3 linked regions of the Mus musculus genome follow. The protein of the gene in region 1 purifies or fractionates together with the protein of each later gene. This does not show direct contact. Links are inferred from orthologs where the notes say so. Each region holds a gene or a part of one and is shown in the gene's direction. Other genes may lie near its edges. The genes, in order: Sec22b, Stx5a and Stx18.

Region 1 (2,445 bases):
AGCCCCACATCTGGGTAGCTCACAGTTGTCTGTGGCTTTAACACCGCAAGATCCAAGGCCCTCTTCTCATTTCCAGGGCGTCATGTAAACATGTGCATACACATACACACATAAATAAAAATAAGTAAATTTTGTTTTGTTTTTTTGTTTTTTCAAGACAGGGTTTCTCTGTGTAGCCCTGGCTGTCCTGGAACTCACTCTGTAGACCAGGCTGGCCTCGAACTCAGAAATCCGCCTGCCTCTGCCTCCCAAGTGCTGGGATTAAAGGTGTGCGCCACTACTACCCGGCTAAGCAAATCTTTAAAAAAGAGAAGCAAAACAACTACCAGGTGCTGTGGAGCACTCAGCTCTGCATGCCCAGCATGCTCAGGACCCTCGGAGCCACAGCAGAAGGTGGGTGGTGGGGGAAATCTGCTGCTACTAACTGGGCGTTGGTCATATGCTGAAACCATCACTCTAAAGCAGTCTGTGTGCCTATCAAATGTTGATAATACAGTTACTATTTTATTGTTAAACATAGTTTAAACTCCATGATTTGTTTATTCTGCCAGTCACTTTTGTTATTTTTACACCTTAGTGTTTTTTTGACAAACCACTTCAGGTCTAATTAATGTTTTCTCTTTTTTTTCTTTTCAGCATTGGATTCAAAGGCTAACAATTTGTCCAGTCTATCTAAGAAATACCGCCAGGATGCGAAGTACCTGAACATGCGCTCCACTTACGCCAAGCTTGCAGCAGTAGCTGTGTTTTTCATCATGCTGATAGTGTATGTGCGGTTTTGGTGGCTGTGAGATGTGAACCTAGTCACTAGTAAGGGAGAACCTAGAACCCCGCAGTGTATGTTTTCAGGAAACTGAGCTCACAGGGCTGTGTATTAGAATCCACGTGGAACTTCTGCCTCTAAAGACCTTGCAAGAAAAGACCTGTCCTGAAAATGAAAGATGGCGCCTCGTTTAAGGAAGCTTGACCCATGTGGAAGTCTCTCTGGGACAGACTTTCTCTGGGTGCTGAGCTATATGTATTAGGGAACAGTAGGTTGTCTGTTTTGTTTCTCTCCCTCCCAGTACATGTGTGAGGCAGCAGAACTGGGGCATTCTCTCTCTGATGGAGCCATCAGTGAGATTTAAGGTAGCCAACCCATTCTAGCAGCATCCTGAAATTCTGTCAAAGAAGGCGGCCCTCTGGGGAGTCCTAACTTTAATCGACATTCCTGTGTTGGTAGCAGTGTGATTGACTTTCAAGTGAGACACAGTATGTGAAGGTTCATGATGCACAGATCCTATGTGTTGGCCATTGTAAGAAGTTAACTTTCGTTGTTTCCCTTTTATATTTTGCTTATTGCACAGTTGCTTTGGAATTAAATCAATTATATAATATGCCTTGAAATTATATAGTATTGCTTGACTAAAAGGATGAATTTTTTTTTTCTGTCATTTACTCTTTGTTGTTTGTTTTTCTTTTCTTTTTGTTTTTTTTTTTGTTTGTTTGGTTAGTTTGTTTTGTTTTGTTTTGTTTTGTTGAGACAGGGTCTCTCTAGCCTCAGTTGTCCTGGAACTCATGAACCAGGCTGGCCTTGAAATGACAAAGATCCACCTTCCTCTTCGTTTACTCTTTAACTCTCTTGGGACATTATTATTTGGGACTGTTTGGTCTCTGTAGAGTTGGTGTAGCGCAGGGTAGTCAGAGGCCCTGCTTTACGAGAAGAAAGGCCCAGCTTAAAGCTCCAACTCTGCCTGCCCCTTCCTCCCACTTTGTCTATGCGTTCCCAATTCTTGGTTTTCTTTTTTTTTTTTTTTTTTTATTACATATTTTCCTCAATTACATTTCCAATGCTATCCCAAAAGTCCCCCATACCCTCCCCCCCACTTCCCTACCCACTCATTCCCATAATTCTTGGTTTTCTTTACGACATAATTTGCTTAAATCTATAGTCTCCTGTCCCATAAATATCCTATCAGGATATTCACAAATTGCAAATGTGATGTACTCAACAATGTAGTTAGTTAAATTTATTATCTTTGCAGATCAGCTACTCAGACACAAACACTCACATAACTTATGAAGGACACCTCTGAGAGCCAGTCCCTCATTTCTGTTTCAGCTTATGTAAATTCTGCAAGAATGTTTTAGATATAAATGACTCACGGACAGTGACTTCTGTAAGCAATGGGAGTACATCAGTCTTCTTTCCCCTTTTTGCTCAGGGATAATGGGGATATCTCCTTTCACCTTCTGAGGTAGAATTTTATAAGTGGGAAGAATAGGCCTTTTGAGTATTATCACAAGGGGCTATAATATAACCTATAAGTCCTGCGCACACTGCAAACATCTCTTTAAATTGTACTGGAAAACGAGCCAGTGTCTTATTTCTTAGCATCTTTGAAGAGACTTTTGGTAAGCGGTTTTATAACCCTAGGGATCATCACTGCTGCCCTATTCCTGGCG
Region 2 (4,372 bases), on another chromosome or scaffold:
TGCCAAGGGTGAAGTCCTCCAGAACACGAGGGCATTGGTTTCTAGATTTTCATCCTCTTTCCCTGACTCCTGAATGTCCTTCTTGATCATCAGGATGAGCCCCAAGAACCTCAAGAGCCCAACCAAGTACCCTCAGAAGACACAGAGACAGATGAACTTTGGGCCTCTTTGGAGGCAGCTGCCAAGCGGAAGCTCCCAGATTTGGACCAGACACAAGGTGCTCTCCAAAGAAGGAAGAAAAAGAAGCGGCCTGGATCCACCAGTCCTTGAAGCCCCTTGCTCATGTTGTTAATAAATAGCCCAACGCGCGTACTGATCCTGGACCTTTTGTGATGGGAGAAACGCCTTGTAGGTGGGAGGGGTTCCCTCACCTAGCTGCGGGAGACCTGACATCACAAAAGCTAGGCCCAGAGCTAGGCTGGCTGGGGAGGGTGACAGAGTCCTGCGCCTTTCGGGGCCATGGGCTGCTGTCAGGACAAGAACCGTTGGGCCTCGGATGAGCAAGCAAGGGATGAAGTAACAGAGGATGGCAGGGAAGGTAGGACTAGATACAAAAAACGGGTCTCAGGTCCTGGAATGGGAGCCGGAGGTGCCCCAAAGGGACTGCCCCAGAGGTGGGGCTGGAGAGAACAGAAGTGAATTAAGTGGACCCTGTGGTGCTTGTAGGCAACGAAGTGGACAACTCAGGCCGCCGTAAACAAAGATCTAACGAAAGTCTCCTGATCACCGTGCTGTGGCGCAGGCTATCCATGTTCAGCCGTCGGGAGTCCTCGCGGTCAGGCAAGCAGGACAATCAGATGCAGGAACGCAAACATGAGGGAAGCCACAAGGAACCAGAAAAAGGCTGACTACAACCCTGGTCTTAGTCCTCCCCAACACCAGAGAATAAAGTTAATATTGCGAATCTGCTGAAAACACTTAGGCCTAGGCTTCCAGCTTTAAAGGCTCTGAGACCACACACAGGCTCTTTAAGGCGCCTCTAACCCAGCAGGTCCAGATTTGTTCTCGCACTTCAGGGGCGGGGCCGCGGTGGCAGTCTAACCAATAGGAGAGCGGAGTCGAGTTTGCATGGTAGGGGTGTGTTCTTTCTGTCTCTGGGCTAAAAAAAAGGCGTGGCGCAGCAGCCACGTCACCGAGTTAGGAGTACGTCTAGGTGACGTGGCGGCTCCTGTTCTTTGGTCCGGCTTCCACTGCTTACAAGTCCTTCGAGGAGGCGGCAACGATCTGGGAAGAGTGGCGGTGGTGGTGGCGGTAGGAAACAGAAGAGGTAGGGTTTCGCTTCAGTAGGAGTCCAGCCTCTGTCGTTCGGCTCAGCTCCGGGCAGCGGCTTGACGGGGGAGGGGGGAAGGGAGCCAGGAGTAAGTCCTGCTGGCGGCTCCGCGTAAGCGAATACCTCGCTGTCCAATCAGGAAAGGTCTTGTTAAGGAAAAACTTGGCCCCATCCAATCAGTGGCTGCAGTCTTCCAACAGGCGGAACTTTGACGGAGGTGGGACTTCCTGTTTCAAATAAACACTTTTAAGAGGGTTTTTTCGCCTCCCCCTCCGCCCTCCGAAGTGTGTCCACCTCTGGAGATCGGTTGCTGTTTTCTGTGAGAGGGGGAAGGAAATCACGTATACCAAAGGCAGGATTGAGACCTGGGCTAACTGCAAAGGTCTGCCTGGAAGTTCAGGGCCGCAGGACCAGGCTGTGGCTGTTTTCTCGACTTTAGGGGCCCCGGCCGGAGCTCTGGCAGTCAGAGCCAAGTCGGAAGGAGACTCTGAGGAGGCTTCGCCTTGGGCCTGGAGGAAGCTGACCGTTCTCGCCGTGTCCAGGGTGCAGGATCTGCGGGTGGCCGTGGGCTCCAAAGTCTGTCAAATACGGGAAAGGGCCTGGGGATTTGCTAGTTGAGGGGAGCGTTTGGGGAAAGAGGCTGTCTGGAGAATGACATTCTCCTCTCCACAACAGTCTGAGGTTATGCGACTCGATGATCCCGCGGAAACGCTACGGATCTAAGAACACGGATCAGGGTGTCTACCTGGGTCTCTCAAAGACACAGGTTCTGTCCCCTGCAACTGCTATCAGTAGCAGCAGTGACAGCACTCCTTTGCCCACTCCGGTGGCCCTGGTCCCCTCCCCTCCCGACACCATGTCCTGCCGGGATCGGACCCAGGAGTTCCAGTCTGCCTGCAAGTCCCTGCAGAGCCGTCAGGTAAGAAGCTGGAGTGGAAAGGCAGGCGTGAGCCCATTTAGTTAATGCTTAGGTTTGTTTGGTAGTTGTCTAAACTTAATTTACAACTCTTAGATAGACTAATCTTATCAGTAGGAGAGGAGGAATTGTCTTCAGTAATTTCAAGAATACTTTAAGTAAGTTGCCCTAAATACCACAAAGGATGAGTCAGGATTTAAACCTACATCTAATTTTTTTCTTATCTACAAACCACTGATAAATGTAGATTGTCTGATGTCAACAGCGCTAGAGTGTTTAGTGGGTTATGTGAGGGAGCAGTGAAAAGCTGAGGTAAGTAGTGACAGGAACTAAAGTAGCAACTTTTTGATACAATTCAGAATGGAATCCAAACAAGCAAACCGGCTCTGCACGCAGCCCGACAGTGCAGTGAATTTACCCTCATGGCCAGGTGAGTTGAGAGGGGCGTTGTGGTGGGGTGATACAGTGTCTTAAGTATATCTGCCTGTGATGGTTTGGCTGAGTGGAATTGGTTGTGTTGGAGGTTATGGTAACAGCCTCTTTCCTGCCCTTTACCACAACCTTCTCACTGATGATCATTTGCAGGCGCATTGGGAAAGATCTCAGCAATACATTTGCCAAGCTGGAGAAGCTAACAATCTGTGAGTGTTTGGGAGGCCTTTCCTAGGTGGGACAGTGAAACATAGTACTAGGAGGTGAGGCTCATGGAGGTTTTGTCTTATTTTTTCTATGGTGCTGGGGATTTAAACCAGGGATGTATACCTTAAGGCAAGTGTCTCTACTACTGAACTGTCATCCTAGCTCTTTGAGCCTTGCTATTTACCCTCACCTGTCCTAATGTTTCATCTGTCTCTGCAGTGGCAAAGCGCAAGTCCCTCTTTGATGATAAAGCAGTAGAAATTGAGGAGCTAACATACATCATCAAACAGGTGAGCTGCTAGCCATCAGGAGAGCCCAGCATTCTAATTAGATTACTTCCATCATTTTCCATCGCCATGAATCCCCAGGGTAAGTATCTAGACCCATGTCCAAACACCCTGCTCCTCCATTGAGTCAGTAGACACTTAGGTCATCTAGTATTTATAAAGCACTGTTCTAGATGCTGATGAAACAACTGGGAAGCAAGAGCATTGTCTTCAAGGGCTCATTTTCCTTGAGAGTTACCCAGCATCAAAAGCCTTGGCTTAAAATGAGGTTAGGTGTCAGTATAGAAAAGATCTTACAAAATGATTAATGAAGCAGGATACTGGGAAAGATTGACCAAGGATATGAAATCTGATTTGGACTCAGCTTATGTAGAGGTAGGCTGAGGGGTCTATATGCAGAAATTCAGCCAGATAGTATATGTCTTTAATTTCAGACCTCAAGAGGCAGAGGCAGGTGATTTCTGTAGTGGTAGAGATGTTTTCGTTTTAATCCCAGGTGTAGGTATGTGGGGCTGCTTCTGTCTGTCTGTAGCACCTGATTGTGATTTGCCAGCTACAGATAGTTTCTGTGATTGTGTGATGTTTGGAATTCTGGGAATTTTTCAGAGGGTATATAAATGTTGGGGCCATTCAAGAGGCGGCGTTGGTGGTTATTTCAAGGGGAGTTTAGTAGTCATGCTGGAAGAACTAAGAAAGAAATTAGGTTTACAGATCTCTCTTTTCCCTCTCCCTTCTTTCTCTCCTATTTAGTTGAATGGAGTATGTATATGTTATGGAGGTGGGTGAGGAAGACTGGGAAAAAGAAACCCACAAAGTAGCAAAGGCAAGCTACAGATCTCTGAGTTTGAGGCCAACCTGGTCTGTAATTATGTTGTTTTGTTTTTTTGTTTTTTTTTTTTTAAGATTTATTATATGCTAGTACACTGTAGCTGTCTTCAGACAGACCAGAAGAGGGCGTCAGATCTCATTACGGATGGTTGTGAGCCACCATGTGGTTGCTGGGATTTGAACTCAGGACCTTCAGAAGAGCAGTCAGTGCTCTTAACTGCTGAGCCATCTCTCCAGCCCTGTAATTATGTTTCTTCCCTCCATCCCTTCTACTTTCCAAAAGAAAAGAAAAAAAAGAAAAAAAAATGGGAGCAAAAGATACAGATAGCCCAGAGCAGATTCTTTGTTTTGGTTTTGAGACTGTACTTATATAGCCCAAGCTGGTGTTTTTGTTTAAGACAGGGTTTTCCTGGAACTCCATTTGTAGACCAG
Region 3 (4,449 bases), on another chromosome or scaffold:
CTTGGAAAACTCAACCATACAGCTGATTAGAACATGCAAGTGTAAAGGCAAATGTGATCCTAGGATTATTATGAAACTAGCTTTTCATCTTGATGACTGTTAAAAGCCTAATTTTAGCACACATCTTAGTGTGCTTCCTTTTATAAGGAAAACAAAACCCAGAGAAATTGATATTGAACTAAAACTAAACCATGGGGGTCACACTCCTGGACAAGAAACTACAGGCAACTATGGCTGCTGAGAGAGGGAAGTTAGCCTATCCCATGGAAGAACCCTCTAATTGGTTGTCCAATACAACGTGATTATCCCTGAAGCCATAGACACATACACAATAACAACAGTTTCAGCAGATTGTGCTGGCATATCCATGGATACTTACACATATATGCAACAATAATAATTAAAGAAGAAGAAGCTATCAACTTGAGATTGAGTTGGGAGACATGGAAGAAATTGGAGGGAGAGGACTTGAGGAGGCTGGAGGGAGAAAAGGGAAGGAGAGAAAGTGGCATAATTGTATTTTTAATGAAAGGTGCACACAAAAATAAAATGAACCATGAACCAAGTGCTCAGAAAAATTTTACTAGCTGACTTTAGTCAAATTACGTAACTCTGTTCTCCATTTCATTCTTTCTCTTTGATAACTATGATTCAAGAGAGCGCTTTTCAAAAGTGCTTATTGAGGAGGAACCTAACATGATATCATGAAGTTCAGAATGCTTCACTTTCGTCTGGCTCTGATAAGTTCCTGCTCTCCACATCCCCGCTCAGGGATCTCTGCTCTAAGCCTCTTCTACATTATAAGTAAGAAGACTGAGGGCATGGTGGCGCGTGCCTTTAATCCCAGCACTTGGGAGGCAGGGGAAGGCGGATTTCTGAGTTTGAGGCCAGCCTGGTATACTGAGTGAGCTCCAGGACAGTCAAGGCTACACAGAGAAACCCTGTCTCGAAAAACAAAACAAAACAAAACAAAACAAAACAAAACGACTGAGGACAACCATATTATCAACAACGGCAACATCTACTAGCTGTATACTAAGAGTTAAACAGCACGAGGACGTTTTATACACACATTCTGTTTAATTCTCTGTGCATTCCAAGAAAGGCGCTGGCTTCACTTTACCGAACTGGCTGAAGGTTGAAGAAAAAAGGTCTCTGGCCCCTACCTCTGTACACGTACCCTTTCCTAGCTCCTGCAACTCAGATGGTCATAGTTCATTGTTACTCAAGGCGATCCCTTGATGACAAAAGTCAAAAGTGTGATACTCCCCACCTGTCAACCAAACCGCCCGCCCGTCTCCTAAAGAATCATAAGGGGAGCGATCTTTCTAGCTTCCCGATGCTTTCGTTCCTGAAGTCCAGACTGGGAAATCTCCGAGCGTCTGATCCCGCTGAGTTTTGCAGAGAGGAGAAAGGGGTGCCGATGCACTGCGGGTAGCTGTCTGGAACGGAGAATTCCGGCTCTGGGTTAAAGCCGGAACCTTTCTCCACTCTCCGCGTTACACGGGCGGAGTGCGGAACCTTTCTTCTATGCTCACAGTTCCCAGGCGGAGGAGTGCGAAATCGGAACGTCCCTCAGCAACCGAGTTCTTGCCGGGGTCGCTAGCTGCTGACGTGTGCCTGGCCGGCTTCAGGCCCTGGGTTGCGGGTCGCTATGGCGGTGGACATCACACTGCTCTTCCGGGCTAGCGTCAAGACAGTGAAGACGCGGAATAAGGCTCTGGGAGTGGCCGTGGGTGGCGGGGCCGATGGCAGCCGGGACGAGCTGTTCCGCAGAAGCCCTCGGCCCAAGGGAGACTTCTCCAGCCGGGCCCGTGAAGTGGTAAGCTGGTTGCTATGGGAACGGCGGGCGGGAGCTAGGGGCGCATACGCTCCGCGGCCCCTGGACCCCAAACTGGGCCTATCTCTTTAGCTCTCGGTGAAGACAGGGAGTCTCTAGCAAGACAGAGAGTCTGTCTCACCGACCTAACAGCTGGCTCAGGGTGGCGACAGGTTTATTCTCACGAAGGGACGCATATCTGGGCACTGAAGGAAGTAAGTTAGAGGTGCTTGGATATCCTTGAAATCAGGTTATAACCTTCTGAGGCAGTGAGTTCGCCAAGAGTTCCCACAGTCTGACACTTCCTGTCGCAAAGCTCACCACTATCTCCCCTCGCCCTTCCACGAATCTGTTTGGACCTCCTCTTGCTCGTAGGGTTTAATAAAATCCACGCTCAGCTGAACGCTCCTTGATCCTTGCCTCCAGGCATAGGTAGGACTCAGTACCTCCTGAGATTGGTTTAGGACATCACCAGTGTAGGGTAAAAGCTTTTCCCTTCAGAGCGGCAACACTTAAGCAACACTAGTGTTGTAACTGTCCTCTAAACTGCTTCCTGTTCTCTGGACACAACCGGCTTCTGTGTCCCCAACATAGAAATCTTTTCCATAAGGGTAGGAACATGTTGACAGTATTTCTGTATGTGCTACTGACAATATTGCTTAGTAAGTATTCTTTGAATGAATGAATGGTTGAACGAATGAACAATTATTGATTCCACTAAACAGGAAAAAAAAAGATTGTTTGCATTATATCCCTTTGTGTCTATGACACTAGGGTAAATGTTATTTTTGGAGTACCAGGGGGTCATATACAGTCTGCCTGTCTTTTTAAAGACACACACACACACACACACACAATGGCCCAAAGCATTGAAAGGTACAAATCTGGGGGATCTAAACTTTAAGTTTCATTGGTTTTCCAGTAAACTCACCTCTGCTTGGCACATAATCCATTGCTTGATATTTCTCTTTTTGAGGCAGGGTCTTTCCATGTAGACAAGGCTGGCCTTGATCTTACAGAAAGGTGACTGCTTCTGTCTCCCAAGTGCTGAGATTGAAGGCATGGGCCCTCAGACTAGATAATACTCAAATATTACACACACACACACACACACATATATATATGCACAAGTCAATGAATGGCTGTTTACAGATAATGTTGAAGCACAGGAGGTTGTATGAACCAGATAAATGCCCCTCCCTCCAACAGTAAACATCTACCTAGTACTTACTTTCTGACCAGCACTGTTTTAGAGTAATAGGGTTCCACTGTTGAGTTATAGTTACAGTGGTGGAGGAGATGCAAATATAAACAAACGCCCTGCCGTGAGCCGTGCTGGTGTTCTGTAGGGCACAAGGGAAACAGTGGTTAATCCCACCTGGGAGAAAGGCTTCATGGGACAATGATGTCAGAAACCCATTCTAAAAGAACAGTAGTTGGTTTCATTGCCAAGAAGGCTAGGAAGGGCATCACGTGCTGGCCGTGCTCCTGGGTGGCCACACAGTCAGGAGGACATGGACAGTGCAGTTAGACTTGATGGACTTTTAAAAAATGGGTGTGTGGTGGGGAGATGGGGACATGAAGGTAGGGGGGTATAGAGGTGAGAGTGGATTTGAAAGGAGTTAGAGGGGGACTGGATAAATATGATCCGAACACATATGCAATTCCCAATGAATTAAGAAAATATCTTTTTTGAAAAGAGACCAACATGCACAAAGGCATGAGATAGTAGCTTAAGTTGGGCTTGATTAAAATAAGAATGTGGGACACTCAGAAAAATAATGAGTGTTATGGTAGCCAGCGGGAAATCTAGAAGATCTTTGCAGATCACTCTGCAGCGTTTGAACCTTGCCTTCTAGACCAGTGGTTCTCAATTTTCCTAATGCTGTGGCCCTTTAATACAGTTCCTCATGCTGTGGTGACACACCCCCCCCCATCAATCATTATTTTCATTGAGACTGCATAAGTATAATTTTGCTACTGTTATGAATTATAATGTAAATATCTGATATTCGGGTTATCTGTGACCCATGTGAAAGGGTCATTTAACCTCCCCTCAAAGGGGTCACAATACACAGGTTGAGAACCACTGCTGTAGAAAGTCCAGTATTATGTAGACAGCGAAGAAGATCCAGGAGACCACAGTGTTGTCTTAACCATTTTAGCTATTAGCCAGACTCATGCTATTAGGCAGAACTTATTTACCTACAAAATGGTTCTTTTTATCCAAAACAGACTTTAAAACGCCAATGGATCCATCTTATATATCATATATAACATGTCTTATCATACAATTTATCATTTTTTTATGGTTTTAGAGCTTTATTGTAGAAAGGCAGAGAGAAAGAGAGAGGGTAAAAGAAAGGCCAGCCATGGCCACGTGGAGAGAAGCAGGGTGGGAGGGAGGGGAGAAGGAGAGCTAGAGATGAGAGTTAGAAAGTTGAGAGCTTAAGAGCACCATGTATCATGTTGAAGGAGGCATGTCTCAGGTTGAAGTAAGAGAATGGGAAAATAAGGTGTCATCATAGCTCTAGTCTGAGTCTGGCCAAGCTGTTGTCGCAGTGTGTGGACGGCACAGTTTTGGTGTGTGGAGGCTCTTCCTGGGTGGTTTATTAATGCTGCACAGATTA

Evidence for each region.
Region 2: the proteins of Sec22b (region 1) and Stx5a purify together in Homo sapiens (co-immunoprecipitation; 4 studies listed by BioGRID and IntAct, counting the BioPlex papers as one, with this or other methods). This does not show direct contact. The link is inferred for Mus musculus from reciprocal best matches to the Homo sapiens genes SEC22B and STX5.
Region 3: the proteins of Sec22b (region 1) and Stx18 purify together in Homo sapiens (affinity purification with mass spectrometry; 5 studies listed by BioGRID and IntAct, counting the BioPlex papers as one, with this or other methods). This does not show direct contact. The link is inferred for Mus musculus from reciprocal best matches to the Homo sapiens genes SEC22B and STX18.

The regions. Positions count from the first base shown.
Region 1 is NC_000069.6:97,920,480-97,922,924, forward strand, and holds the end of Sec22b (vesicle-trafficking protein SEC22b precursor), read left to right. Parts: intron 1-636; coding exon 637-791; 3' UTR 792-1,839; downstream 1,840-2,445. UniProt on the Homo sapiens protein: SNARE involved in targeting and fusion of ER-derived transport vesicles with the Golgi complex as well as Golgi-derived retrograde transport vesicles with the ER.
Region 2 is NC_000085.6:8,740,309-8,744,680, forward strand, and holds the start of Stx5a (syntaxin-5), read left to right. Parts: upstream 1-1,494; 5' UTR 1,495-1,964; coding exon 1,965-2,189; intron 2,190-2,545; coding exon 2,546-2,616; intron 2,617-2,662; exon of another isoform or gene 2,663-2,771; coding exon 2,772-2,827; intron 2,828-3,044; coding exon 3,045-3,115; intron 3,116-4,372. Other genes in the region: Wdr74 (WD repeat-containing protein 74), read left to right, coding at 94-270; 1700092M07Rik (testis-expressed protein 54), read left to right, coding at 460-538, 667-848. UniProt on the Homo sapiens protein: Mediates endoplasmic reticulum to Golgi transport.
Region 3 is NC_000071.6:38,037,678-38,042,126, forward strand, and holds the start of Stx18 (syntaxin-18), read left to right. Parts: upstream 1-1,552; 5' UTR 1,553-1,654; coding exon 1,655-1,822; intron 1,823-4,449. UniProt on the Homo sapiens protein: Syntaxin that may be involved in targeting and fusion of Golgi-derived retrograde transport vesicles with the ER.